7 linked regions of the Rattus norvegicus genome follow. The protein of the gene in region 7 purifies or fractionates together with the protein of the main gene of each other region. This does not show direct contact. Links are inferred from orthologs where the notes say so. Each region holds a gene or a part of one and is shown on either strand. Other genes may lie near its edges.

Region 1 (2,616 bases), about 120 Mb from region 7:
ATGATTTTCCTTCAGTAAGTCAAACACACTGCTGCTCTTGGGCCCACTGCAGGGCAGGCCTTGTTAGATGGAAAACACCTTCCCATGCTCTGCGTGGCTATTTCTCTTGATTCCTTGAAATCTGTCCTCAAATGTCACCATCTCGGTCATGTAGCATAAGCGTGGGATTTGAAATTGTAAACTCCTCAAGCTGCCCCATCCCCCTCCATCTTCTAACTCTTGACTAGTTTAGCATATCTGCTTCCAAACTGGCCGGCATAATGTATGTCCTCAAACCTTTGGAAAATGCTCTGGTGAAAACTGAATGGGGAGAGGTGGAGCAGGGTCGGGACAGGACACCATTGTTTGCCAGTTTGTCATTTCTGAAGACACACAAACTAATTACCAAGAAAGGGGGGAGGGGGCTGCAGCATAAAGGGAAGTGAGGTTAATGACAGCAAAGACTAGAAATGGGTGGGAAGGAATGTGGAAAAACTCCATGCTTGAAGGTTTCCTTGGTACCAGACACACTGTAGGCATGAAGAAAATCGAGGTGAGGGAAGATCATAAAAGTGTGTGTGACAACTAAAGTACTTGTCAATAAACGCTTGCCCTGTGCTTCCGCCCCCGTTTTCTAGTCATATTCTCACGAAATCTTGATCCACAGAACTCTCTCCAAATACCTCCCAAAGAACACAGCAATTCAAACCAAAAGATATAACAAATCCTAACTTTATGTATGATATATATTTAAAAAAAAAAAAGGCGAGAACGACATCAACTATCGAAAAGCTGACTCGGAATGCGTCATCACTCCCAGGCAGTCTTCTCCCTCGCTTGCCGATTCTGGGATCACTCCTTCCGCACAGCTCCCAGGAGACCCGACAGTCTCTCGATGACTTGTTCGGAACCGTCCACAGGTAAGCAGGTCAGGCGATACACCCAACGGAGAATGGTCGAGAAGCAGGAGTCAGGAGGATCGGTCCACAGATGGCAGATGGGGAAGGCTGGGAAGCGCTCGCCTCAGTTCTCCTCCGGCTTGTCCGCCGGCGGCCCGCTGGGCTGCAGCATTTTCTCCATCAGGTTGAAACGCACGCGCGCTTTGCTCTCATTCTCAGCAATGGCGAAGTAGTTGAGGAGGTCGAAGTGACCCATGTAGGAGCAGTAGGAATCCCGATGCTGGTTCACAAGCCATTCCCACTTGGTGGTGTCGGCGTGGCCCGTGCCGATGTACTTGGACTGCAGATGCTCGAGCTGGCTGTGGATGGTGTACCGGTCCGTCATCTCGCCGCTCTGTTCTTAGGCTTCGAGGTCAGGCCACAGATGAGAAGCTACCGCTGTTCGGCGTTCAAATCAGAGAGACGCCGCCGCCGCTGCCGCCGCACAAAAGCTCTATTCGTGCTGGCGCAGGAGAAAGACGACACGCAGTCGCAGGAGTACTTTCTTTTCCTAGGCGGAAGGGGAAATAAAGTCTGTTGCGGGATTGGGGTTGCCTAGGAAACAGTGGGCCGTCTCCTCACGGAGCCCGCCTACTTCGAAGAGCGTTGCATGATGGTCCTCTTAGTGGCTCTTGGGTGATCACGTTCTAACCCTCGCGTTGCATTCTGGGACATGTAGTCCAAAGAGTTTGTCTTAGATTGTTTTTGAGGGGTTTTGCCTGGCTTATATAGGACAATGTCCAAAAACCTCGAAGCTTCATCCCACGGCTCCGGGCTACAAAGAAGGAGAAACCTACGTGGGTTTCATAATCCCACTGTCATTGAAATCTCATACTGCCGCAACACAACAGTATGAGCAACGAGGAAAACTAACTCTTGTACCTAGAAGTTAACATGGTGGCATGGTTCCGCCTTGGCCCAAGTTTTGTCTCTTAGGATTTGGGTACCGGGAAAAGTTTTTTTTTGTTGTTTTTTTTTTTTTTTTTGTTTTGTTTTGTTTTGTTTTTTGACTCTCGCTAGCTGCTTGTTGATCAGTGTCAGCACTGGTAGTCTCATTAATGGCTTCCCTAAGGAGTTCCAGGCGCCAGTTTCTCAACCCACCTAGGCTCTGTGGCCTTGGGCAAACAACCCCTCTTTAAGGTCATTCATAGGCTATTCCTTGAAGTCGGATATGGCTCGAGACAAGAAACCTCTTTCTCTTCATCTTGTGTTTTTCTGCTGATTTCTGCCTTATGTTGGGGGTTGTGCACTTTCTCGCATGGTACAAACTACTCAGAAAAAGATAATTGTACTTCTTTCATGGTACTCCCTGAGGATATGCGAATAGCGTGATGAAGATTGTATTCTCAAAAAAAAAAAAAAATCTTAAGAATGGGGTAAGAGCAATCATAGCCAGAGAGGATGGATGATGACAGACAAATTGAAAATACAGGAGTTTGGGGGTACTTTTGTTTATTTGATGTAAGAGGGGGGAGGCGAAGTTTTGTCCCTGAGCTCACAGCAATCCTCCTGACTCCTGAGACTAGAGACTTGTGCAACTCCATCTAATATTTATTCTTCTGTCTAAACTTTGTCATAAAGCATCTTGCCAGGTGGTGGCAGCACACATCTTTTTTTTTTTTTTCTTTTTTTCGGAGCTGGGGACCGAACCCAGGGCCTTGCCGCTCTCCCACTGAGCTATATCCCCCAACCCCGGCAG
Region 2 (3,712 bases), on a different chromosome or scaffold from region 7:
AGCTTGGTGCCAGCCTGGTCTACATAGTTCTAGGACAGCTAAGGCTATATAATGAGATCCCACTTAAATAAATGAAACGAATACAGAAAGTGCAGGGCTAATGGCAAACCGATGCTTCTGAGCCCTAACTCACCTGTGTAGATTATAGGCCAGATCAATGGCAATGAGCACACCTGTGGGTGAAGGGTAGATACTCATGTTGTCTGTGGTGTAATCCAGGAACTTGGCCCGGGCATAGCGCTCAATATCATGGGAATCATAGTCCCCCCAGCGTAACTGGATGTCAATCCAATACTTCTGTGTGGTGGTGCTGTCCATCACATCCCTAAGGGTAGGGGAAAAAGTTCAGGTTTTCAGGAAACCACAGCATAACCACCATCTCAGACTCATGAGAACTCCCAACTGCACCTAAATCTCAAAATCATCCCTCCTCATTGTAGATCAGCAAGACCCCTAGCCGTTCAGTAATGGTGCTTGGCTTTAACCCCAGCACTTGTAAGGCAGAGTCAGGTGGATGGATCTCTGAATTCAAGGCCAGCCTGGTCTACAGGCCAAGTTCCAGGACGGGCAGGCTACATGGAGAAACTGTGTCTCAAACAGAAAAAAACAACAAAACAAACCACAAACAAACAAACAAACAAATCAGCAAGACCCCCCCCCCCCCCCCAGGAAACGGGTAGGTCTGACTGCTGATGGGTTACAAGGGCTAGCACTGCCTCCAAGTTTAAAAGAATGTCAACCAAAAGCTGGGAATGGTGCCCACTTTTGTACAGCGAGCATTTGGAGGGGCTGAGGCAATAGTATTATAAGGTTAAAGCCAGAATAACAAAACAAAAGAGGCAGGGCTAACTCTTTTAAGTTACATGCTTATCGGAGTTGGGGATTTAGCTCAGTGGTAGAGCGCTTGCCTAGGAAGCGCAAGGCCCTGGGTTCGGTCCCCAGCTCCGAAAAAAAAAAAAAAAAAAAAAAGTTACTTACTTAGAGTCTGCCAGCAGCGAGGGCCGGGAGACATTCCACTTATAGGAAGCAAAGAGCAGTATATCTGCACAGGAAGAGTTCATCTTGTAGGATTTTCGGGGATGGATTGTCTCCTTTTGTACTGTCTCAATTTCCAGGGCATCTAATTCCTGGTCGAAGACCTAGAAGTAAAGATGAGAAATCCACATACACTGAGAGCTGAGAGAATTTAGATGAGGCAACAGAGTCTAATCCTTGCCTGTCCAGGATAAATTTTCCCAAGCTGGCTATGCGTGGCAGTGCATAATCTAAGCCCTTGGGAAGCAGGTTAGGTAGCCAGCCTAAGGATCTCCAGGCCAAGGCCACACAGACGGATGTGACTGTGTGATGTCACCCCTCAGCGGCAGCTCACCTGACACAAGTCCATCACGATGCTCTCATGAATCTTTTGCCACAAGTGAGCTCGGAAGATCTGGATGAGAGAGATCTTCAGCGTGGGGATCTTGCCATGCATAAAGATTCCTGTCAGGTCCAGCTGCACCTGGAAGCCTACGTATACCTGCCAGGAAAGAGAGAGACCAGAGACCAGCTCTTAGGACAAAGATAAAGGCGTAAGAAACCCCTTTCCCCATCTCCCTTGTGGAAGAATCATACTCACATTGGCTCGATTGATTGTTGGGGACCACCAGAGAGTAAATCTACGATTAGGAATCTGGTTTAATCCTGATCGCTGAGCATTGGTCAGCTTCTTCCACTTCATGGATTCCTCAAACCCGCTGGCTTTCTCCCTGATGAACAGAGGAATTAAATGAGATGCTGCCCATCCCCCTCCCAGAGGTGCCTAACCCTCACTGGGCTAAGTAAGAAGCAGCAGGCTACCACAGCACAGAAGTGCTGAGCTCAGAGAGTTGTGACAGATCCCTGTAAGGAGGCAGAGTCCTTACCAGAACAGACCTTCCCAGGTTGGGAAGTAAGTGCCCTTGAAGAGAGTGTGTTCCAGAATGCCCTCCACACCGCCCAGTGCCTGGATCATGTCTGTGCGGTAGTTGTTGAGGTTCCAAAGCTTGCCATCATGCCGTTGATGTGTCCACCAAAAGGGGTTCTGCTTCAAAACCTAGAGAGTAACGCAAGTACAGTGAAGCCTCTGGGTGGCCACCACTCTCAGTGACAGGGATGCCAAAGCTATCCTGATGGGGAGAAAACTTGCTCCACTCTCCACTCTACACACCTGGTACTGCTTAAAGTCAGTTCGGACACGCCAGCCTTTATCATAAGCCAATGTGTGCCGATCTTTCTGGAAGAGGGTATTGATCCGGGGAATGCCCCGATCCCACGAGTCTTCTAAATCTTCTAAAGTCAAGCGTCTGCCAGAAAAAAAGAGTCAACATCTTTTCTCACAAAGAGCAAGCATTCAATATTCTTTGGCCAAGGATAAACAGAATCAGTCTTAACTCCTAAAAACATACTCTGCCCATGACCTCCACATAAGATTCAAAGTGTTGTGAGCCAACCCCCAGCTCTGACTGGCACACCCTCTGCATGCCCACCTGTTCTGAGCAATAGCCTCCTGTCGCTTGAGTGCATACTCAGCCCAGACCCGCTGGGAGTCAATGAATTCACTCTCCCATGGCTGTATGTAGCGGTACAAGTTGGGAATCAGTTGGTCTTCTTCATGACTCATTCCTGAACGAAAGTGTGTGATGCCCACATCTGTTTGCTTGGACCACCTGTTCAGAAAAATTGAGACAGGAAATAAAATTAAAGTCAAATGTAATCAAACACTCATTTCCCTCAGAGTTGAAATAATGAAATAATGAAGGTCAGTCACACTATACCTGAGGTCAGACTGGGGGATAAGGACATGGCCCATCGAGAGCATGCCAAGCCCACCCAGCTCCTTAGGGGTGTAGAATACAACAGGGGGGAACCGACTTGGCATCTTGGAGTTCAATCCAATCTTGATACGTGTCTGGATCTTGTTTTCACACTTCACCAGTAAGTCTAGGAGTTCCTGTGTATTCACCACAGCCTCTCGAAAGTATGTCATAAGGCCAATGAGAGCTGTATTCCACTTATTCACAATCTAAAGTTAGTGGAAAAGAGTAAATTTCACATGAGCAATGCAGGTCTTGCAGTTACTAGTTAGTTACTTACATCCCTAATGTAGGGGTTGGGGATTTAGCTTAGTGGTAGAGCGCTTGCCTAGCAAGTGCAAGGCCCTGGGTTTGATCCTCAGCTCCGGGAAAACAAACAAACAAACAAACAAACAAACAAATCCATATATCCCTAATGTAAGGATTAGTTTAAAATCATTAGTAATTACAGAAAATAAAAAAAATATAAGATACTACTTCACACCCACTAGGATAGAAACAAATGAGAGAGGGATGACTGAGTCACTCTGATGGCTCAGTGGGTAAGACTGTCACCAAACCTGAAGACTCGAGATTAATCCCCAGAACCCACATAGTGAAGGAAAGAGCCCACTTCTTCAAGTTTCTTCTCTAACCTCCACATGCACTCTGTGGTCTATACCCACCCAAACAAATGTAATACAAAGTACTTTTTAGTGCTGGGCATGGCAGTATGAGGCTTTAATCTCTATGAATTTCAGGCTAGCCAGTGATACATGGTAAGACCCTGTTAGTTATTTTAAATACAATATTCCTTTCAGAATAACATAAACTTGGGGTAGGGGCTGTCAGATCAAAGAAGGAAACAGCACTGCTGACTGCAGGAAGACAAAGAACTAATC
Region 3 (4,227 bases), on a different chromosome or scaffold from region 7:
CCAGGTGACAGGTCCAAGGCCGACCAGTGTCACCAGGCCAGTGCAGAATGGTGGAAGTCTGGTGGGCAGGTACCTCATTGTTATGCAGAGTCAAGCAGAGTTTGCACTCATAGGATCCCAGGTGGTTCTTCATGAAATACGGGTCCTGGGAGTGAAGAAATGTACCGTGAGACCGCACAGCCTGGCCCCGGGACCCAAGGACCAAGGTGGGCAAGGTGAGGGCTCTGCAGGCCTGGAGACTCTCCCTCCCCCACCTTATTGATGTCGATGGTTTCCAGGGCCAGTTGCCGCAGGCGCTCTCTTCGATCCCGGTTGCTCTCTGAGGAGGAGGCCACGCCCCCACTCCCAGTTTTGCCTCCAGGTCGGTGCTGAAAGTCCATGATGCAGGCCTGGGTACTTTAGGGGACAGGAGAAACCTGGGGAGCAAGGAAGACTAAGGCTTAGAACCCTGCTGATGATGCTAGGACCGCGGGATGGCCCAGCATGCAAGCCATCCCTTCTCTGACCTCCTGATCCTCCCAAGTGCTGTGACTACCATTGAGCCGCCTCTCCCTGATGTAACATATGATTACTATTATTGTTGTTGTTATTATTGAGGGAGGAGTCTCTACGTAGTCATGGCTATCTTAGAACTCTCCTCACACATTAGGCTGGCCTCTGCCTACCTCTGCTGGCATTAGAGGACACACCCTCCTCTGCCTGACACAAGGAATGCTCGATACCAAGGGTCTCACCTTGGAGGCTCAGCCAAAGCCTCCAGACAGTGTTACCTGAGGCAGAACACTTAAGACTACTCAGTCTACTGGTAAACCTACAGTAAACCCAGGGCCAGCGACCAGGAGACAAGTAGAGACAGCTCTTGTCATCATCACTGGTGCCTCCCATAGCACAAGGGGCTCTACAAATGTGACCAAGAACCTTGAGGGCAGGTACCCAGTTACTACAATGTCACTAGAGTGTGCTCAAGGCTGACAGGCCACTGACAGCACTGGCTGTCAAGGAGGAAGAGGCCAGAAGGCAAAGGATACAGGATGCTCTAGGTGCTGAGAGGGACGGCTTGAGAGGTGTACACTGAAGTGGCGGGACAGGAGCAGCCTATTAGATGTTTTGTACTCAGCCAAAGACTGAGAAGGGCATCGTCTACATCATCCAGAGCTACCAACAGACACACTCCCAGAGATGAAGCTGGCCAGACACGAGAGTACAGCCAAACGGTGGGAGAATCAATTGGCTTCTCAGAGTTAGGGGCACCCACAAGCAGCAGCAGCAGGATGGAAAACCACTCCAGGCTCAGGCAAAGACAACTCTTGAGAACATAGGACTCTGTGGCTGGCCTCCCCAGGGAGGCTGGGTGTCCATCCACAGACTTGACGGTGCCACTCAAGGAGAACACTTGTCCAGCATGCACTGGGTCCCCTGGGGGGGCATGCTTGAGGTTGAGTGCATGGATATCCACTGCAGAAATGTAGTTCATCAGCTTTGGAAGGAAAGCAGAATAAAACTGGCCTGGGTGAGCATACTGCTTGGCCCAGTGGATGGAGCACAAAGTTTTGCAAACGCTCACCAATGAACTACCGCCTCAGCCCACCAACAGTTCCCAACCTCAGGAAACAGAAAACATGGGGCATGGCAGTGTATACATTTCCTTCCAGCTCCCTTAGAGGCCAAGGTAGAAAGATGATGGGTATAATTTGAGACCAAACTGGGCTGTGCAGTGAGATCTGTCTCAAATAAAAGACAAAAGGGTGCTGGGTAGGCTGGCAAGATGACTTAGTGGCAGATCACAACCACCAGAAACTCCAGCTCCAGGGAACCTGACAGTCTCTCCTGGACTTGACGTTATCATACTCACACATGAAGCTCCACATGGACACACATTTGGAAAAAAAATCTTTAAAAACACGGGAAAGGGATTCCAATACCAGCTTTTATCTGCTTCCTGACTATGGCTGTAACACGACCACCATAGTGGACTGCACCTTCATACTATCAGTCAAAATAAACCTTCCTTAAAACAAAACAGTCAAGTGTAGTGGCACACGCTGTAAATCTCAGTATGCGGGAGGCAGAGGTATGGGAGTGTATGTGAGCTCGAAATCGGCCTAGTCCACACAGGGTTCCAGGTCAGCCTCAGTTATGCCGTGAGACGCTGTCTGAAATAAAGTAAAATTGTGCCGATGACTGGATGGACTCACAAGTGAAGCCTGGGACAAGAGACCAGGATGAATGGTTGGGAGCCGTGCGACCTCACGGACTACTCTAAGATTACCGATGAACGATCAATAGAAACAGAAGAGTAGTATATGTTAAGGTCACGGTCTGGGAGAAGGCCTGCCTGGTCTAAAGGCAAATCACTTTTTTTTTCTTTTTTCTATTTTTCGGAGCTGGGGACCGAACTCAGGGCCTTGCGCTTGCTAGGCAAGCGCTCTACCACTGAGCTAAATCCCCAACCCCGCAAATCACTTTTAAATGCATATACCGTTATCTTTTAATCCGAGCAACAGACCTACTACAGTGGACAGGAGCAGTAGTCGCCATGGCCCTGACTAACGGCGAGGGAAACTGAGGCAAACAAGCAGGTTAAATGACATTCCAAGAACCCGAACCACCCTAGAGGCCACGGAACCGCCACAAAAGTCCGCGATCACGCCACGACTCAAAGGACCTCGCGAGACCGCGCTCTTAGGGCGAGGGTGCGCCACGCCTAAGGGGAAAGGGCGGCCGCTGCCCCGCCAGGCCCCACGCTCTCGCTCCTACTTTCAAGACCCACAGACGGGGCAGCCGCCACCGACAAACCGCGTAGTTCCTTACCAACACCAAGGCCTCGGTAACTGGGCTTAACCTCCCCGAATGCCGCGATTTTGTTGTGCGCATGCGCACGACCGCTTGAGCAATCACTTCCGGGGGCAAGGAAGGCGGAGTTTCATGTGTGCGCATGCCCAGCGAATGGACTCCCCCTACGGGAGGCGGGAGAAAAAAAAAAGAGCGCCGGGACACGGAGTACGCGTGCGCACTGCATTGTCTACGAATTCTTGCTCCGCCCTAACTCTGTTGGCGCTGACTATCGCGACAGGACTTAAACCTCAGGGTTCACAGGCCCGGGAACGAGCTTCGCGTATCGTGAGGTGCTATGAGTCTAAATTTACACCCCACGTTCAGTGTGTCTGACGGTTATTTAAGGACGGGCGATTTCCTTCCCGTCCGACTCCTTGTTCTACTGTGCTGACCCACCAACTAGCGTCACGCAACACGCCCAACAACGCGCAGGCGCAGTAGCACCGTTGGGACTTACGAGGTCGCTTCCTGAGACTTTTGTGGCGCTAGTAGCGGCTTCGGGCAGGACGGCGGCCGAGAGGCAGGGCGCGTTTTGGTTCGCGCGGATCCGGGCGGCGAGATGCGGTACAACGAGAAAGAGTTGCAAGCGCTGTCCCGGCAGCCGGCAGAGATGGCGGCCGAGCTGGGCATGCGGGGCCCCAAGAAGGGCAGCGGTGAGCTGGTCCGGGCCGGGGCTGGGACACTTGGGCGGGCCGCGGGGTTCCCCGGTGGGCGGATGACAGCAGTTGCGCGCTGACACCGCCCTCTGCCTGCAGTGGCCAAGAGGCGGCTGGTGAAGCTGGTGGTCAACTTCCTCTTTTACTTCCGCCCGGACGAGGCCGAGGTAGGGGTGTGGGGGGCGCGGGGGACCCGCGCGGCCCAGAGGCCGGTGCTCATGGCCGTGTCTCGCGCAGCCCCTCGGAGCCCTGTTGCTGGAGCGCTGCAGAGTGGCCCAGGAAGAGCCGGGAGGCTTCTCCATCAGTAAGTGTTCTGTTCCCCACTTTCCACCCCGGACTCTGCTCCGCGCACGCGATCCTTTTTACTCCCTTAGGAATCTCCATTTGTCCTGGATCTCGCGTCCGCTGGTGGCCCATGACTGTCCCAGCTGTCACTCAGAGTGACCACTGGGTCAGGTTCTCATCTTAGTTTCTTCCCCGATCCTCTGCCGGTTTACGGCCGAGAGAGGTGCAGTCTGTGAACTTGGTGTGTATAACTGAAGCAGTCTCTGCCGTGGGAGTGAGTGTGCGGGCAGGGCTTTGAGGCCTTGAAGGACACCTGTCTCAGCCTTCACCTCTGGAGAGGTCTTTCTGCTGCGTACCTTGTAGAGATTTGTCCATCGTGTCTACCTCTGTCATCCAGTGGGGTTCTCCATCTGTACCCCTATTTTCTGCTTCTTGTACATGTGCACGCATG
Region 4 (4,442 bases), on a different chromosome or scaffold from region 7:
TAACCTTCTCCCCAAATACGCTCCTGTCAGTTCTGTTTGGCTGGGTTATAACATTACAGACCAGAAGACTGGCAGCTATCCCTCATCCTGTCTCTCTGTGGTTCTCAGCTGCCACCACCCACCCTGGCCCCGAGTCACTGCTCTCCTTTCAGCCTCCCCACAGCCTCCCAAATGTGCTTTCAGTTTTCATTTGAAAAGTTGCGTCATGCAGTAAAGCAGTTTGAGCAGTCTTGCTCAAAACGTATGTCCACCCAGACATGTAGTCTGGCCCCAGATAACAGGTTTTGCAGATATAATTAAGAAAAAAAAATATATATGTATATAAACGTATATAATTAAGGGGTCTTAAGAAGACGTCATGAATTTAGGTCAGACCTTAAATCCGTGACTAATGCCTTTACTAAAAGGAAAAGGGGAGGCTGGGGAAACAGCTCAGCCAGTAAAGTGCTTGCTGTGCAAGAAGGAAGACCAAATTCAAGCTTCAAAATCCAGGTAAAAACAAAAGCCAGACATGATGGTGCCCGCTTGTAGCTTCAACAGTTGGAAGGTCAAGACTGTGGGCCCCTAGGACTTAACAACCAGCCAGCCAAGCCTAATCAGCAAGCTTCAGATCCCACTGGGAGACCTGTCTCAGAAGACAAGGAGGGCAGGCAATATGGCTCAGTGGGTTAGACACCTGCTAACCAACATGGTGGCCTGAGTTCTGTTTCAGGGACCCTCATAGGAAGGGAAGGACTGAGTCCCACAAACTGTCCTCTGACCTCCACATGCTTATCCACACAAAATAAATACACATAAATTTAAAACACACATACATACAAAGCGGGTGGCACCGAAGGAATGATACCCAAGGTTGACCTCCGGCGTCTCCCCAGGTGCTCACGTGTGTGCACGCGCACACACATACCAGGTCTCAGTAATGCCTGAGAACAAAACAAGAGACGGAGGAAGACATAGTAGCACGTACCTGTCTACAGTCTGCCTGGTGGCTTCTGCCCTCCCTTCCGTTCGCTTGATTACAGACCCAAGTCACACTACAGCGTGTTGGAGGGACAATGGTCAGACACAGGAAGTGCTTCAGGAACTTTCCTGGGGAGACGAAAACAAAGTTAACTTGCCCGGAACAGGCACCAATGACAGGCTAAAGTACCAAAATCGGGTGATTTGAACCAGTTAGTTTGTTGAGCTTATCTACAGAGTATGAAAGAGAGGCTACTTATGGGAGTATGGGTGACCCTGAAACAGCTTCACTACACAAATATCTCACCCCAACCTTGATGATGACTTTCCAGCAGCTTAGATGAGGTTCCCCACGTCAGTTAACCTTCCACCTATACACATGCTACCTCCTGAGACACGGAGACCACACGCAGCTGGGGCAGAGTAATAAAACAGCTGGCACATCCCTGGTGATGTTAGTGCAATCCCTTAATCCCAGCTATCGAGACACAGAGGCAGGCAGATCTCTGTGAGTTGGAGGCCAGCCTGGTCTACAGAGCAAGTTCCAGTACAGTCAGGGGTACATAGAGAAACCCAGTCTCAAACAGTAACAACAGGGCTGGAGAGATGGCTCAGTGGTTAAGAGCACTGACTGCTCTTCCAGAGGTCCTGAGTTCAAATCCCAGCAACCACATGGTGGCTCACAACCATCTGTAATGGGATCCAATGGCCTCTTCTAGTGTGTCTAAAGACAGCTACAGTGTATTCATATAAATAAAAAATAATAATTTTTTTTTAAAAAAAGTAACAACAACAAAATCAACAGGGTGGTAGTGGTGCACACCTTTAATCCCTGCACTCGGGAGGCAGAGGCAGGCAGATCTTCGAGGCCAGCCTGGTCTGCAGAGTGAGTTCTAGAACAGCCGGGGGGGGGGGGGGGGGGGGCGCAGAGTGAAACCCTGTCTTCAAAAGGCTGACACACGCACACAATAACACAATAATCAAAAACAGCTGACAGGAAGGAAAGGCTCAGATCTTACCTTGGGGGTTTCTGGGGAACTGTCATAGCCCCTCTGATCAAGATGACAACAGTGCCAGGCAGTGGTGGCGCAGGCCTTTAGTCCCAGCACTTGGGAGGCAGAGGCAGGTGGATCTCTATGAGTTTAAGGTCAGCCTGGTCTGCACAGTTCTAAGCCAGTGAATGTTACATTATGAGACCCAGTCTCAAAAACCACACGTCTAGGGGCGGGAGGGAGGCATGCACACACTGTTCTTTCAGAGGACCAGAATTTGGTTCCCAGTAACAACTTCCTGTAATATTAGCCCAGGAGGGATCCAGCTCCTCTGGCCTCTGTGGGCATCTGCACATGCGCGCACACACATACACACACACACACACACACACACACACACACACACACACACACACATATACATATCGACAAAAACACGACAAAGGCCATTGTGCTCAGAGAACAGTGTTCTGCACTGCAGGAACTGATAACCTCTGGCTTTGTTCTTGCTCCTCCTAGAGGATGTCACCAGATTAGTGCAGGTCGGGCTGGGCCCTCGACTGGGAGCAGGCTGTTTTTCAGAGCACTGGTCTATGGGTCCTGTGCATCCTGAGGGGTGGGGTGGAGGGCAGGGATTGGGGGGCGGTCTCAGCACTACAAGTGAAGGACACACAGTGCCACTCTGACACTCTCTTGAGCCCTGGTGACTAACTCTGTCATCCCTTTCTGCCCACCAGAAATAAGCCCATTCCAAGTACCTCGTTTTGTCCTGCTCTTCCTCAGTGGACTCACACTGGTGGCATTGCAACAACAGGATGTGAAAATGCCGGATTCCTGTTCCAGGTAGCTTCCAGGTAGCTGACTGACAGAACGACAACCCAGAGGTACTTTGCACTCCCGGGATTAGTAAAGGGAGACGCTGCCTCCCAGGGTCTATCTCCAGGATATCCAAGCCTCCTCTTCTCGAAAATCCTCCAGGCCTAATGGATTCCAGCTGAGAACAGTGTGGCGAGCCACCGCTGCTGCCGCTGCTCCTCCTCCTCCTCCTCCAACGCTTAGCGGAAGCCCAGGACCCCCGCAGCCGCCTCCTTGTCGCCCTAAGGAGGACTCAGGGACTGGGGAACCGGCTGGAGCAGGGTTGCCCTAGACTCTCAAACAGCGGACCCGGGCGCTCAGAACAAAGGCACAACTGCTCCAGCTGCCATGAGAGCCGGAGCATGCGGGCTCCGGAGTCCCTCACAGTCGCTTGGTTTTTTTGTTTTTTGTTTTATTTTTTTGAAACTGTTCAGGCTACCCTGGTGCTTGCTAGAAATCCAGACTGGCCTCACGCTCCTCCAGTCTTTGCCTCCCAAGTGCTAGGATTACAGGAGTGAGCCACCATCCTAGAGTGACACTGTGACAGGCCATGAGGCAGAGGAGGAAATAGAAGTAAAAATGGGGTGGGGTTGGAGGTGGGATAAAATACTGATGCCTTGATTTTTCCACACGAACATGTCGTTAATATTACTTCTTTATTACTTTTACTTTTGGGATTTCGTTTTTAGACAGGGTCTCATGAAGCTAAGGGTGTTAATACATTACCACTGTGATGTGTTGGGTTTTTTTTTTTTTTTTTTTTTTTTTTTGGTTGATTTTGGTTTTGGACACAGAATTTCAGGCAGCCCAGGCTGGCCTCCAACTTGCTAAGTAAGTGGAAGCTGGCTTTACCATCCTCTTAACCTGCTAAACGCTGGGATTACAGGAGAAACAAAGAGCTGAGGTGGCTACTAATCTATCAAAGCTAATAGGGTCGTCAAGCCCCTCAGCAAAACTAGCACCTGTTAGAGTCCTGGCTTCTCTGAGCATTCCTCGCCACTCTGTATCCTAAAGCCTCCAGCCCCTGAGATCCCCTTATGTTCCCCATCTTCTCATTCCTATATAGCCCAGCCCAGGAACTCTCTTGGTTTCCATTCTTTTGGCTTCTTGGTTCTTCTCCCTCTCCTGGTCTCTGTCCCTCTGTCTCTCCCCTCATGGCCAGATTCAGTCTGGATCTTTCCAGATGCCTCTAGCCATTCTCCCCCTCATATCTACAATAAAAACATTCTCCTCAACCATATCTAGGAGGAATCTGATACTTATTTTCATTCACACCATCATGTCTAGCCTTTTCTTTTAACCTTTTATTTTGACATAGTGTATCACTAGATGTCTTCTGTTTGACCATGAACTTGTAATTCTCTTGTCCCAGCCTCCTGAATGACTGGGAATACAGTCTTGTGCTATTCAATTCAAACAAAAATGTGAGTTTTTAATTCACTGCTTTTATTTATTTCTTTTACACTTATTTACCTCTCTTTGTACAAGTTAACATTAAAAAAAAAACACAAATAGGCATAGAGAGATGGCTCAGTGGTTAAAAGCACTGACTGCTCTTCCAGAAGTACTGAGTTCAATTCCCAGCAACCACATGGTGGCTCACAACCATCTGTAATGAGATCTGATGCCCTCTTC
Region 5 (4,509 bases), on a different chromosome or scaffold from region 7:
TCCACATGGGTGCTGTGATATGCACCCCCAATCCCCCAAAAAGGGTACTATAACAGGGCATACATTTATTTTCGGCCAAGTACTGTGGGTCACAAAAGAATCAGTCAAACAGACACATGTATCTGCATGCTTCACAATTCCTCCCTTGATAATTTTCTAACCATTTGCATTACCTTTACTCCACAGGACCTTTTCTTCTCTGGTGTGCACTGCTCATCTCCTATGATGGAGCCCACCTACCTGGGGATCTAGCCCTGCTCTGAACGAACCTCTGGCATCTTATAGGTTGATTCCACCTCATTTTCTTTACTGAGTGAACAAGCTCAAAAGACAGCTTCCTTCTGATCAGTACCTGCTCAACTCCAAATCTGATTCTCAATGTCTATATGTGGGTCAAGGCCTTTTCTTTTAGTTTTTCTCTTGTGTACAAGGCATTGGAGATAGAACAGTCTCTGGGTCCCAGGAACGAACTTAGAGATGTGGTTAAGTGACGCCCCTGGGCTATGATGAAGAGAAATAGATATAGAAGGAACAAGTACCGTGAGGCTGGGAAGCACAGCTTTGGATATGTGAGGGAGGGGAGGAAATTATTAGACTTGTGGGGCTTTATACAGATTTCGGCATAGCAGGACTGCAGGCTTCACAAACTGTATAAGGAATGGAATGCGTATCTAACAGACAACACGATGCTTTGGGACGGGGATGTGAATGATGAGTTCTGAATTCAGAAATGAACAGTCTCGATGCACCGTGTAGGAAAGAAGTAGGACGAGGCTGGAAAGGAGCACACAGAAAGTTATTACTGTTTTAAAAGAAATGAGAGTCTGAAAGAAACAGTGGCAATGGAAGAAAGAGACATTTGATTAAACAGCAGCACTCGGTCATGGTGGGGAAAGTAGCTGTCACTCAAAGGCTGAAAAGGTCAAGCATAATTCCTAGGGGAATGAAGGATGCTAATGGGAGCTGTGCTAAGGAAAGGAGAAAGGACGAAACTGAGTTGGGGGAAAAAAAAACCAAAACCAACGAACCAACCAAAAAAATAAAAAAAAACTGATGGAGGAGACGTAGCAGCTGAACAACTAACTAGCTTCAGGGGTTGAGGAAAAGGAAAATGATTGGGCTTGGGCCAGTGAGCAGGATGTGGATCAACCAAACTGCGGAATACAAACATGCACTTAGGGAGAAAGAAACTTAAGCGTTTAGCACACCACACAAAAGGGGCCCGAGAGAGCCATCCTGGATGAGATTTTTTTTTTTTAAGATTTATTTATTTATTATATATGAATACACTGTAGCTGTCTTAGACACACCAGAAGAGGGCATTGGATCTCTTTACAGGTGGTTGTGAGCCACCATGTGGTTGCTGGGATTTGAACTCAGGACCTCTGGAAGAGCAGTCGGTGCTCTTAACCGCTGAGCCATCTCTCCAGCCCGATTTTTTTTTTTTTTATATTAACGTTTAAATTGGCAAGGAGTTTAAGGCAAGGGTTTACTAGGACAGCTGACATGTAATCGGTTACAGCTAAAACTGCTTTGCATTTTTGAGTACTGGTAGCTTAACACACTTGGCGAATGAGTAAGAAGGCTCAGAGCTCATCATCAAGTGATGGATCCCAAGGGGCCACGCGGCTAAGCGCTAGAGGTAGACACGAATACTGGGATCTTGATTCCTGCCTAGGTCAGCCTCTTCACCGTGGTCACCTGTGAGCCACGGCAAGTATATACCAGCAGTTAAAAATATAAGAGACTATGTGGAGGGAAACTTGAAATAAGAGCCTAGACAAAGGAACCCTAAAGCTGACAGGGCTGGAAGAACAGGGAACCCAAAGGCTGAGGATAGCTCAGTGGATGTCTTAGGAAAAAATGCATAGAGAAAAGGGAATTATTACAAACTATTCTATGCAGAGATTTAACTCAGATGTCAGAACCGTCTCACGACTGCAAAAGACCTAGGACACCATTTCCACTAAGCAATTAGTCAAGAAGCCAAGACTAGCCTACCCTGAGCTGGGGTAGGGGTGGGGGTGGCCCTGTGACAATGCCGGGAACAAGGAACAGCACGGAAAGTTGGGATGTCTAAGGAACACACTGTTGTTCTAAAGATAGAGTTCCCAGAGTTCTTTCATGCCAGATGTCCTTATTAAAGAAATAACATTCCGTAAATGGCTCATCAAAAACTGTCAATGACTTAAGACACAAACAAGACACAGGGAGATCTTAGTTCGAAATCTCTGTAGTTTTCCTCTTCACACTCTTTAAACTGATCATTTGCACAGGGCTTACTACAGACTGATGCTCTCGAGGGACTCAAGACACACCAAGTCTTCCCCTAAGTTTGGAAACTCTTGGCTTTGGCTTAAGCGGCCTCTCTTTCTTTGAACTGATAACGTTGTGTAATTTGCAAGTGGCGAAGTCAGGATTCCTGATGAGTTCCTCAAAAAAATAAAAAATAAAAAAAAATAACAGTACCTAGCCATGGTTCACTTCTCGTGAGGGCACAAATTCTAGTTTGAAAGTCTTGATCCAATATTATCCATGTTCTGAAATCACATCTGCTTTAACAAGGCTACATTCTAGTCTACATATTCAAACTTTCCTCCTCTCTTGGACTACTTTTATCCGACAGAGACACGAAGGATCGGAGGTAGTCGAGGGCTGCTTCGTACTTCCAATCGTCAAGGAGGAAGTGGGAAGAGGTGTAAACGCTAGTTACTTACTTCTCAGCGCCGAGATAGACCAGCATCTAACCCGAGACGAGCTGAAAGCAATTCCTAAACTCATTAGTGTCCAAAACACTTACCTTAACTGCCACCTCCGGAGCCGAGTCCACCGCCACCGTCAGAGAGGGCTTGGCTGAAGGCGATTTGGTCAAGTGCATGAGAGAGTCCGCGGCCGGCAGTGGGCACCGACTGCCCTCACTGTCCGAGTCCGATTCGGACCCCGAACCCGAGCCATAGGAAGCAGCTAGAGCTGCAATCGCAGCCGACATGACTGCAACAGATACTCTCTGCTATGGCCAGGCCAGGGCGGAAGAAGCAGCGTCTCCCAGGTCCTGACAGATTGTCATGGAACAAGCTATTTACCTCCTTTGATAACAAATCATTTCTAACTCCTCGTAAAAACCTTAATGATTATTACGATGACTGTGTCAGGATTTGAGATTCGCGAACATTTATCTAAAGAAGCATGAGGGATTACAACTATTTGTAACTTTCAGGACCTCGCTGATTAAAGACCCGGTCCTGAGCTGGGTTTGAAGCCTCGCCGTACTTCACTCCCGGCGTACAGCGCGGCGAGGTGCTCGCGGCACCCTGGGAAATGTAGTTTGGAGCGAGGAGGCGGAGTCGGACAGAGGGGCTCAGCCTTCGACCCCGCCCCCAAAAGGATGCTTCATTCAATTGGATGTCATCTTCCCTCATTCCCGAGCCGGGCACCGTTCTCTCCGGCCCCCTCCCCCAAAGTGCGGATTGGGCAATACCACAGAGCCTCAGGACAGGGGGAAGCGCCGTCCTCTAGCCCACGGACCGGTAAGTGGGTGGATGCTCACTTCTCCCACCATGCCGCCGTCCGCCCTGCAGAATTCGAAGGAAGAATGCGAATTCTAAGTTCAGAGACCTGGGACCCGTCTGGCGCAGCTCCGCGGAAAGGTCGTGAGGCCAGGCGGAGAGCGCCCCGAGGCTCCCCCTGCTGCAGGCGCGGATCCCCGCGCCCGGTTGTGGAGCGTCGCGCGGGGAGGGGGCGGCGCAGGGCAGCGGCGGCTCGCGGTGTTGTTCGCTCGCGCGTCGCGCGCACCGCGTCTCGGGCGAGCAGTGGGCTCCCCCGGCGGCATTCCGGGCGGCCCGGCGCCTCAGCCAGTGCCCGGCGCGGCTTCCATCCCGCAGCCCGACGCTCCCGAGGGGCTCTTGGTGGCGTCCCAGCGCGGAGCTGGACGGGCGGCAGCCGCCGAAGCATGTAGAAGGGGTACGGCGCGAGCCCCCCACGGTTTCGCGGTGAGCAGGAGTCTCTCAGGATTTTGTCCTTTTTTTTCTTACGGGGGTCTTGACGACGTAACTGTTCTCCACCGGCCGGAGCCGAGAGGGGCGTGTGGATGAACCCGGGTCTGCAGCGGCGGCGCCGGTGGATGGGCGCGCCGCCCCCGCCCCCATCCCGGGCTCCCCCGCGCCCGCCGCCCAGCAGCCCGGGCTGCGCGTGGAGGACGAGGCGCGGGATCTCGGGCGCGGGGACTGGGCAGAGGCTGCACCGGGTGCAGCAGCTGCGGCTTCACCGGCGGCGCCGAGTTCGGGGTTCCGATTCCGCCGCTCCGCCCTCGTGCCTTGGCGCCGGCGAAGGCTGCATGCAGCTAGTGGCCGAGCCTCCGGCTCGCCCGGCGTGCCAGCGAAAAGCGAGCTCTGGCCGCGCGTCTTTGCGCCGCGGCTCCCTGTGCACGACAACGGTAAAGCGAGTCCAGGCATCCCTTTATATTCCCGTTTGGAAGAGAAGGCAAAGAGGGTGCCGGCTCTTCTGATGCCT
Region 6 (4,251 bases), about 51 Mb from region 7:
GTTGCAGTAAGTAAATTTTGAAATATTTAACTCAACTACTAATACTAAAAAAACACCTCAGGAAAAACATAACCAAAACATAACCAACCTTGAGATACTTCTATCTGAATCTGCAAACAGACTATTGTCGCTTGCATTTAATTGTCACTAGTGCTTTGGAAAATCTGTCAGAAGCTCATAAAGCAGATAAGGAAACTGAGGCACAGGGAGATCATGACTTGCTCAAAGCCCAACAGCTGGGCAACAGTGAAGCCAAGACTGAAATTGTAATGCCACTAAGTTAGGTACCAGGCTGTAGTCTCAAACGAAGACCAAGCAGAACACTCATTACAGAGTCTGGGTTCAACTACTAACAGCAAAGAATGTGCATGTACATGTAAAGAATAAAATAATCAAGAGCTAGACAGGGGCAAGAACTGTGGAATATTGAGACAAGCACAGCTCTGGCTCCACACCAGGAAGAGGGGCTACTTACAAATCCCAAATGTCTTCCCTCCCGCTAAGTCTCAAAAGCAAAAACAACAAACTCCAAAAATGACATGACAACACCAGGTGTCTAGGACACAAACTTCCTGTAAACTTAGGGAACTAAGAAGGGGGCTAAAGCTAAGAGATACAGTGAGTCTGGGTCAGAGACAAATACCCACAGGCAGGCAAGGTGACAAGATGGTCAAGCTTTCTTCCAGCAAGGCAAGAACCTTCTCCCACATACTGATGCTGGACCGTTAAAAGGAAACTTCATTTGCTCAAAATGCTATACTCTAGCTGTCTTATGCACATAGCTCCAATAATCGACCCTTATAGGCTGGGTCTCAGGCCCCGTTGCCAACATCAGAAGGGACACTCTAGAACTAGTATCACAGCCTCAAAAAACAGCTAAAGCAGCTCCACTTGAACCACCTGAACCACAAGGAACTGGCTTTGCAGTCAGAGCTCTACACAAAAGCAGGAACTTAGCTTTAACATCCAGTTTTTCTTTCTTTGAATGAAGGTCACATCTACATTACCAAGGTCTTATAGGAATAACATTTGGCATCCACTTTCCCCACCCTTCTACAACTCGACACCAGTCTAGTTAGGTATTTAGCATAATCCAAGCCACACAATCTATATACACTCTGCTCCATTTAAACTCAGCTCCAGCTTTCCACTGACTAATGCCTGGAGCTTTTTTTCTTAAGAGAAAAAACAAAAACTTTATAAGCCCTAGTTTACTGCTCAATAAACAGAAAGCTAGTATGTCCTCAGAAGGCTGTTACAAATGATTCACTTAAGACTGTTTAGAGCATGATGGTGGCTCAAGTCTCATGCAGAAGGCAGAGGCAGGAGAACCTCTGTTGAGTAGGACAAGTTCAAGGACTCAAGGACAGCTGGGGCTATACAGAGAAACCTTGTGGAAGGAAGGAAGGAAGGAAGGAAGGAAGGAAGGAAGGAAGGGAGGGAGGGAGGGAGGGAGGGAGGGAGGGAGATTTTAAGAGTTTAACAAATTTCCTTGCCCTGACACATGGTAAGGCCTGAGTTTAATCACAACTATAGTCAGTATGTACCACCATTACTAATTTCAAAAACCCAGTAAACAGAGCAGTGATGATCAGCATACACCTAACAAATTACCATACATAAAGATATTTGAACTCAGGTATATTCAATTTCTAAGGCCTATACTTTTAAACAGTACACTACTCAAAGCAGAAAAGCTCAACAAGGGCACTCAGAATAATTACTTTTTCCACATGTACTGTTTCAACTACTCTCTCAATTCCAGCTTCATTTCGAAGAATTCTGAAGGTCTCACCGAATGCCCCAACACAAGGCAGCTTAAGTCTCAATCCTTAAGAAATTTGAGCTCTTCAGTCTCAAAAAAGGAGGTTGTAGAGATGTCTTATATCTTATATATAACTCAACTCTTTCCTCGGGATTCCTAAATCCATCAGCACCAACATAGCCTGACTGCCTTTCTGATCCAAATTCATAGTACAGGATCTTACTTTAGGAGCACCTGCCTCTACTAACCTACTAATGGGCCAGCTCCCTACTTCCCATTTGCTTGACTATTTTATTATTATTTTATTATCCCTACAGTATGATTGGATTTAGGTGTCCGAGTTTGGAATGATACAGGACCTGGGCTTTGCCTAAAACCAAAAGGTTTAGGGAGTGTTAGGGATATGAAAAACAGATGTCGGCCGCCCAAACTCCAAGGCATATATGATTTATGCTCAGCAGGGGCACAAAGAACGCAGAGACTTCCCTCTTTGGCGGGCAAACAGGTGTAGGACACATTTTTATCTAAGACGCCACAAAACCGGAGGCTGAGACAGAAACATCGAGACAGGAGAGTTCTGGAGAAATCGAAAAGTATGAACAGGCTCGAAACCTACAAGCACCTAGTGATTGCAGCGCCAGTCCACGTGAAGGAGGGGGGGGGAGAGAGTGTGCTTCACCACCGCCATTTTGGAAACAAAGGGGGCGTGGAGAAAGGAAAAGTACGCCCGACCGGAAGCGGAAGTGCGAAGGCAGCAAAAGAAAAAGAATTGAGACCTAAATTCATGTCTTTCTCAAGTAAAAGACAAAAATTTAAAACAACAACAAAAAAGATGCACAAAGAGGAATGCGGCGCGCCCTCAATGCGCCTACTTGACAAAACGCGCCGCCTCCACCGAGACCACGTGGGCGCGGGATATTGCGGCGCGCACGCGCCGTGAGCCTCGCCCGCCACCCCTTCCCTCAGCGCCAAGGGGAGGTCACGTGAGCTAGGCGCGCGCGGCACGGGGGGGGGGGTAAATCGTGCGGCCCTAGGGAAGGGAACAAGAGAAATGGCAGGGGGGGCGCACAGGGCGAAGCAAGAAGCCACCCCACAACCCCAGCGCCCTCACCTTGTTTATTCTCGTTGAGCTGCCGCTCGAACTCGTCGAAGTCCGACATGCTTAGGCGGCCGCGTAGGGCCCTGTGCAGCTCTCGCCTCGCCTTGCCGCCCGCCCGCTCCGGCTACTTCCGCCGCTGGCTTCGGCTACTTCCGGCCCCCGCCGGCACTCCGTCGCCTACCTAAGCAAGCCCCAAGCCCCGCCCCGTCCCGACTCCACCCCCTCGTCCCGCCCGCCCCACCCCCCCTCGAACTTCCCCGAGCTCAGATCCGAAGCCTGTCGGCTATTCTCGGAGAGAGAAGTCTGCAGACGACGGTCGCCCTCGAAATCACCCGAAGCGAGGATTTTTGCCGGCTGCCCAAGTTGCGGTAACTTTTCGGAGACTAGCGTTTCAACGTTCGGAGGATTCCGTGGGTCCTCGCGTTCCCCTACACCAGCCTCCTCTAAAGATACGGGTTTTCCTACAACTCAAACCGTCTCAGTCTCTGGCCGCCTCTGGAAATTAGTCCCACCCCTCGCCGACCCTGTTCAAGCGGTCAGTCACTTCCAACAATCCTAACCGTCCAGGCCTTCGGCTCTTCCGAAGGTTTCCAGCGCTCGCTCACCGCCCCTCTAGAGATTAAACCCGATTGTAATCTTCGGCTCTTTCCGGAGGTTCGACAGGGTCACTCCGCCCCTTCCGGAGAATATCGTTCCCTTCCGCCACTGCTTCAGGAAGGCCTCCAGCACGGAGGGGGGGAAATTCGGCTTTTTCCGCTGTTGTTTCGGCTCCTTTCGGCTTAAAGAACCGAAAAGGGAGGGAGGACAGATGAGAGGTGGGCCAGATGGCTATAGTGGACGGGGCGGAGTCTCAGCTTTGGCACTTAGCTCTCTAGAAAACTGAAAAAACTGACCTCGCGGAAGGCCAGAGAAGGTGTACGGGACAATAGCAGCCAGTTGAACAAAGGGTGTTCGAGGACGCGGCGGAGGTTGTTAGCGCAGCTTGGGACTCCTGCGCACAGTGATTTGAGAGGGGTTTCTGCGCCTGCGTAGCGGTCAGAGGCACGTTTTTCTCCGCTCTCGGGAGGATCCGCCATTCTAAATCCACATTGCGCGTGCGCACGATCTCCTCCAACATACCTCTACCCCCACCCCCAACCTTAGCCCCGTAGACACTAACTTCAAGACGGTTTAACCAGCCTGCCCTCTCCCGGTTGCCATGGCAATCGCGTTAAATCGTCCGCCCCTGCTCCTGCTGCGCAACCGCAGAACGTGCCACCTACGAGAAATCTAACCCCGGGCGGACGGAAACGAGTCTACACAGCGCCCCCTGGTACCTCCATGGGGCCGGCTCAACTAGAGGTCATTGAATCAATTCCCCAGCCGGTGCATTTTAAAAGTCGGCTTA
Region 7 (3,712 bases):
AATTTTCATATTTAGGAGGAGATTCAGGCTCTTGTAAAAGAGAAGTGATCATTTCATATGCCCTTAAAAAGCTAAGTCTGTCTGGAATCCTGTTACTGGAGACTTTAGGATTTTCTACCTACATTCCAACCAGGATTGTCAGCCAGCAAATCTTGGAAAGCAAAGAAACTAAGGCAATCTCCAAGACTGCACACCCAGGTACTTAACTGCTCAAAGAAGTAAATGGATCCTGGGAAAAGGAGAAGAATACAGATGCCTTCAACTACTTTATCTATTTACTTCAAATCAAAGTCTGATCAAAGAGTAGCTTTAAGGCAGTTTTTTCCTGAACTAGAATACCAGTGTCCTTAGGACTATGGGAAGATGGGCTCTACAAGGCTCAGTACTAGGACACCACTGTCAGCCCCAACCTGGCTCTCTCCAGTCACACAACCTGAATACATCCTCACCTTGATTGCTTCCACATCCCCTGCAGATGGCCCACCTTTCTTTTTGTCAGTTGGCAAACCAGCACCTGGATTAAAACTGGGGAGGAGAATATAATTGTTATATTCTGACTGTGCAAGCTGCTTCTCTTACTTTCAAAAGCTTTTGAAAGTAATTCAACCAGTGTAGTATCTTATCTTTGTTAACAAACTGATACAAGAACTCTCTCCTTCAGAAACACCACCCAATCCATCTTCCTAGAGAAAGCATGATGTTTAACATCAAATTTAAGACCGTAAACCGAAATATATGCTCTGCTAACCGGGTAGAAATTTCCCGTGATGTGCAGACCATGAATGGTCAGTCACCATCGTTCAAAGGTAACGCCACGCTAACCGCACTTTGGATTAATTTTGCAGGAGGCCACTGTCAGACAGTGTTTCTGAAGGGGAGGAGAGTTAGGTTGGATATCCGTATCTTACGTTTTGCTTCTCCTGGCAATATCCTTTGCAAGCTGTGCACCCCGTTTGCCCTTGAACATTTTCTCTGCTTCCTGACGCTCCTACAGCAACACCACACACAGAGTTAATGGAAATAGGAATACCACATGCATTTAGATGCATTCCTCAGAAAACATGGAAGAGAATTCTCTGAAGTATTCTGGGTTGGTAAAAACACCAAAAGCCAACTTTAAATTAGACGACACATTGGCCAACATTCTTGGGCAAAGTTCTCAAAAAGCCTCCCCTCCCCCCAGTTTCAAAGAGTGGTCCCAGAGAAGAATTAGCACGTCAACATGGAAATGCCATTCTAACAGGCAGGGCTGCTCACAGCTGGATTACAGTATGCTCCCCATTGGAAATCCATCTAAGCAGACAATTCACTGTGTAGTTCAACTACAAAGTTTGGCCAACTTTGGAATGACCAACAAAGCCCTACCACAAACTGCTAAGAATAAAACAAAACCACCCCACAAAAACAGTAACAAACAACCCTGACTAAATGTTTTCTTTCCCACAGGTTAAGTTTCAAAGTAACAACAAAATTTACTTATTAATAAGCAAGTTTTAAAAAACCTGGCAATGAAAGCAAAGGCCAACTCTGTGATGCCTCACAGCAGTGAGCAATACTCACTTTTAGTTTCACTTTCTGAAAGTCCAGTACTCTGACTTGTGGAACCTTATAAATCACATAGAGTCGATAATGCTTCTTATTGGTCACAGGGTTTCTTAGGATGCTGTAAGAAAAGGGACAGTTCCAATCTCACTCACCACAGCTGATGTAAGGCGGAGTCAGCTGGAGGTGCAATGACTATAAACCAAGAGCCAGCGTGCGCTCTTCCCACTTCACTGTCAGGAGTAACACACGCCATCCAGGAGGGAGCTTTTTATTACCAAGCTAGAGGTGTTATTTCAGGACTATAGTCATATCATCACAAGTAATTTCCATACCTTAGATATGTCAGTGATTTGAGAGATGCCAATGGGTCCAGATCACCCTATAAAATAAGAGTCATAGTAAGGACCGGGCTGACAGGCACACCACTACCCTGAGAGTTTGATATGGCAAGTATCTCTGAAGCAAGTATCTACACTATTTTATTTTTTATTGCTCTGGCACCTAGTCCATTATTAATACAACACAACTGCTTAAATATTTTCTACCTAATAAACTGATAAATATACTCCAGCTTCCTTAAACTTTGGTAGTAACAACATCTGCTTCAACAGAAGACAAAAAGATTTGATTTTCTAAAGCAATCTCAACATGGCTACTAAGCAGTGATTCAAAAATGGAACCAATGCTAATACCAGTGACTTACTTGGAGCAAGCTATTTTCACAGGAACCTCAAGCCAAGATCTTGGTCTAATGTGGGGTTTTGATGTTTGAGACAGAACCTCATATAGCCTGGGGGGTCTTGAACTTGTTGTGCAGCCTAGGATGGTCTTCAATCCTGATCCTCCCAAATGCTGGAATTATGTGTATATACCGCCACACCCGGTGCAGAATGTCTTTTCTTGTTAGTGTATCCCAAGTGGCCACGATATCTGTTATCCTAGATCACCTCTGCCCCCATCTCTTCAAACATCTTCAAAGACAAGGTGAATAGTATAGTTCAAAAAATTATGAATGCCAATCATGGTGGCGCATGTCTTTATCCCAGCCCTCGGGAGGCAGAGACAGACAAATGTCAATGAGTTTGAGGCCAGCCTATTTATTCTATGTAGTGAGTTCAGGCCATCCAGGGATATTCTCAGCTTTTCCCAATTGTCCTGGAAACCACTGATGAAACAAAAATAGCAACACTAAAAACCCACCTTCAAAAGCTACAACTGAACTAGACAAGGTATTTCCTGGACATCTCAGAGTAGGAATAGTTAAGGATACCAGCTACAGGACTGGCAAAGCGTTTATGAAGGCAGGAAGGCATGTAATAAACCAGAGAATTCCATCATAACCAACAGATGTTCAGTCTGAGAAGTTACCAAGGATCTGTATGTTCCAATAGTGAGTACAGGGAGATCTGGATAGATTGTGTGATGCGGCTATAGCAAATGTGGATCCTCGTGCTTCTGGTCTCTTCTCCCATTTGGGACAAAGTTTTGCTATATATATTGTGATGGTTTGTATATGCTCAGCCCAAGAGGCACTATTAGAAGGTGTGGCCCTGTTGGAGTGTGTGTGTCACTGTGGGTGTGGGCTATAAGACCCTCACCCCAGTTTCCTGGAAGACAGTAGTATTCTGCTAGCAGCCTTCAGATGAAGATGCAAAGTTCTTAGCACCTCTGCACCAGGCCTGCCTGGGCACTGCCATGCTCCTGCCTTGATGATAATGGACTGAACCTCTGAACCTGTAAGCCAGCCCCAGTTAAATGTTGTCCTTATGAGAGTTGCCTTGAACATAGTGTCTGTTCACAGCAGTAAAACCTTAACTAAAACATATATATAGTCCTGGGTGGTCGAACTGTGTTCCTTCCAGGACAAATTCCTACACTAAATAAAAACTTGGGATAGACCTAAATTAAGTAATTCACCCCTGCACAGATGAAAGCAGGATACTCACTTCTACCGCATACACACCAAAACTGGAAGGACACAGAAGTCAGTGTGGCCTTGAAAATGGATGTGTACCTTTGTGAAATGGTTCATAATTTTAAAAAGCAATGACAGAGAGCTGAATTTTCAGAAAGCAAACAAGCCATCTTTACACAATCAGAGGGAATGCTAGAGCTTGAAAACTGGCTTACTACCATAAAAATACAAAAGGAATGAAAACGAATCACA

Evidence for each region.
Region 1: the proteins of Snrpa1 (region 7) and Sf3b5 purify together in Homo sapiens (affinity purification with mass spectrometry; 5 studies listed by BioGRID and IntAct, counting the BioPlex papers as one, with this or other methods). This does not show direct contact. The link is inferred for Rattus norvegicus from reciprocal best matches to the Homo sapiens genes SNRPA1 and SF3B5.
Region 2: the proteins of Snrpa1 (region 7) and Prpf8 fractionate together in Homo sapiens (co-fractionation; 3 studies listed by BioGRID, with this or other methods). This does not show direct contact. The link is inferred for Rattus norvegicus from reciprocal best matches to the Homo sapiens genes SNRPA1 and PRPF8.
Region 3: the proteins of Snrpa1 (region 7) and Sf3a2 purify together in Homo sapiens (affinity purification with mass spectrometry; 8 studies listed by BioGRID and IntAct, counting the BioPlex papers as one, with this or other methods). This does not show direct contact. The link is inferred for Rattus norvegicus from reciprocal best matches to the Homo sapiens genes SNRPA1 and SF3A2.
Region 4: the proteins of Snrpa1 (region 7) and Srrm2 fractionate together in Homo sapiens (co-fractionation; 3 studies listed by BioGRID, with this or other methods). This does not show direct contact. The link is inferred for Rattus norvegicus from reciprocal best matches to the Homo sapiens genes SNRPA1 and SRRM2.
Region 5: the proteins of Snrpa1 (region 7) and Cdc40 purify together in Homo sapiens (affinity purification with mass spectrometry; 3 studies listed by BioGRID and IntAct, counting the BioPlex papers as one, with this or other methods). This does not show direct contact. The link is inferred for Rattus norvegicus from reciprocal best matches to the Homo sapiens genes SNRPA1 and CDC40.
Region 6: the proteins of Snrpa1 (region 7) and U2af2 fractionate together in Homo sapiens (co-fractionation; 3 studies listed by BioGRID, with this or other methods). This does not show direct contact. The link is inferred for Rattus norvegicus from reciprocal best matches to the Homo sapiens genes SNRPA1 and U2AF2.

The regions. Positions count from the first base shown.
Region 1 is NC_086019.1:9,175,981-9,178,596, reverse strand, and holds Sf3b5 (splicing factor 3B subunit 5), read right to left. Parts: upstream 1,409-2,616; 5' UTR 1,264-1,408; coding exon 1,003-1,263; 3' UTR 696-1,002; downstream 1-695. UniProt on the Homo sapiens protein: Component of the 17S U2 SnRNP complex of the spliceosome, a large ribonucleoprotein complex that removes introns from transcribed pre-mRNAs.
Region 2 is NC_086028.1:60,843,231-60,846,942, reverse strand, and holds part of Prpf8 (pre-mRNA-processing-splicing factor 8), read right to left. Parts: intron 3,041-3,712; coding exon 2,793-3,040; intron 2,685-2,792; coding exon 2,505-2,684; intron 2,322-2,504; coding exon 2,186-2,321; intron 2,072-2,185; coding exon 1,902-2,071; intron 1,746-1,901; coding exon 1,616-1,745; intron 1,517-1,615; coding exon 1,370-1,516; intron 1,140-1,369; coding exon 979-1,139; intron 326-978; coding exon 134-325; intron 1-133. UniProt on the Homo sapiens protein: Plays a role in pre-mRNA splicing as core component of precatalytic, catalytic and postcatalytic spliceosomal complexes, both of the predominant U2-type spliceosome and the minor U12-type spliceosome.
Region 3 is NC_086025.1:9,563,350-9,567,576, forward strand, and holds the start of Sf3a2 (splicing factor 3A subunit 2), read right to left. Parts: upstream 2,851-4,227; 5' UTR 2,812-2,850; intron 417-2,811; 5' UTR 381-416; coding exon 255-380; intron 146-254; coding exon 74-145; intron 1-73. Other genes in the region: Plekhj1 (pleckstrin homology domain-containing family J member 1), read left to right, coding at 2,947-3,125, 3,239-3,488, 3,729-3,795. UniProt on the Homo sapiens protein: Component of the 17S U2 SnRNP complex of the spliceosome, a large ribonucleoprotein complex that removes introns from transcribed pre-mRNAs.
Region 4 is NC_086028.1:13,318,629-13,323,070, reverse strand, and holds the start of Srrm2 (serine/arginine repetitive matrix protein 2), read right to left. Parts: upstream 3,013-4,442; 5' UTR 2,711-3,012; exon of another isoform or gene 2,698-2,710; intron 1,090-2,697; 5' UTR 968-1,089; intron 1-967. UniProt on the Homo sapiens protein: Required for pre-mRNA splicing as component of the spliceosome. As a component of the minor spliceosome, involved in the splicing of U12-type introns in pre-mRNAs.
Region 5 is NC_086038.1:45,904,974-45,909,482, forward strand, and holds the start of Cdc40 (pre-mRNA-processing factor 17), read right to left. Parts: upstream 3,006-4,509; 5' UTR 2,990-3,005; coding exon 2,801-2,989; intron 1-2,800. UniProt on the Homo sapiens protein: Required for pre-mRNA splicing as component of the activated spliceosome. Plays an important role in embryonic brain development; this function does not require proline isomerization.
Region 6 is NC_086019.1:77,804,290-77,808,540, forward strand, and holds the start of U2af2 (U2 small nuclear RNA auxiliary factor 2), read right to left. Parts: upstream 3,003-4,251; 5' UTR 2,926-3,002; coding exon 2,877-2,925; intron 1-2,876. UniProt on the Homo sapiens protein: Plays a role in pre-mRNA splicing and 3'-end processing. By recruiting PRPF19 and the PRP19C/Prp19 complex/NTC/Nineteen complex to the RNA polymerase II C-terminal domain (CTD), and thereby pre-mRNA, may couple transcription to splicing.
Region 7 is NC_086019.1:129,058,520-129,062,231, reverse strand, and holds part of Snrpa1 (U2 small nuclear ribonucleoprotein A'), read right to left. Parts: intron 1,925-3,712; coding exon 1,878-1,924; intron 1,664-1,877; coding exon 1,561-1,663; intron 989-1,560; coding exon 909-988; intron 526-908; coding exon 450-525; intron 1-449. UniProt on the Homo sapiens protein: Involved in pre-mRNA splicing as component of the spliceosome. Associated with sn-RNP U2, where it contributes to the binding of stem loop IV of U2 snRNA.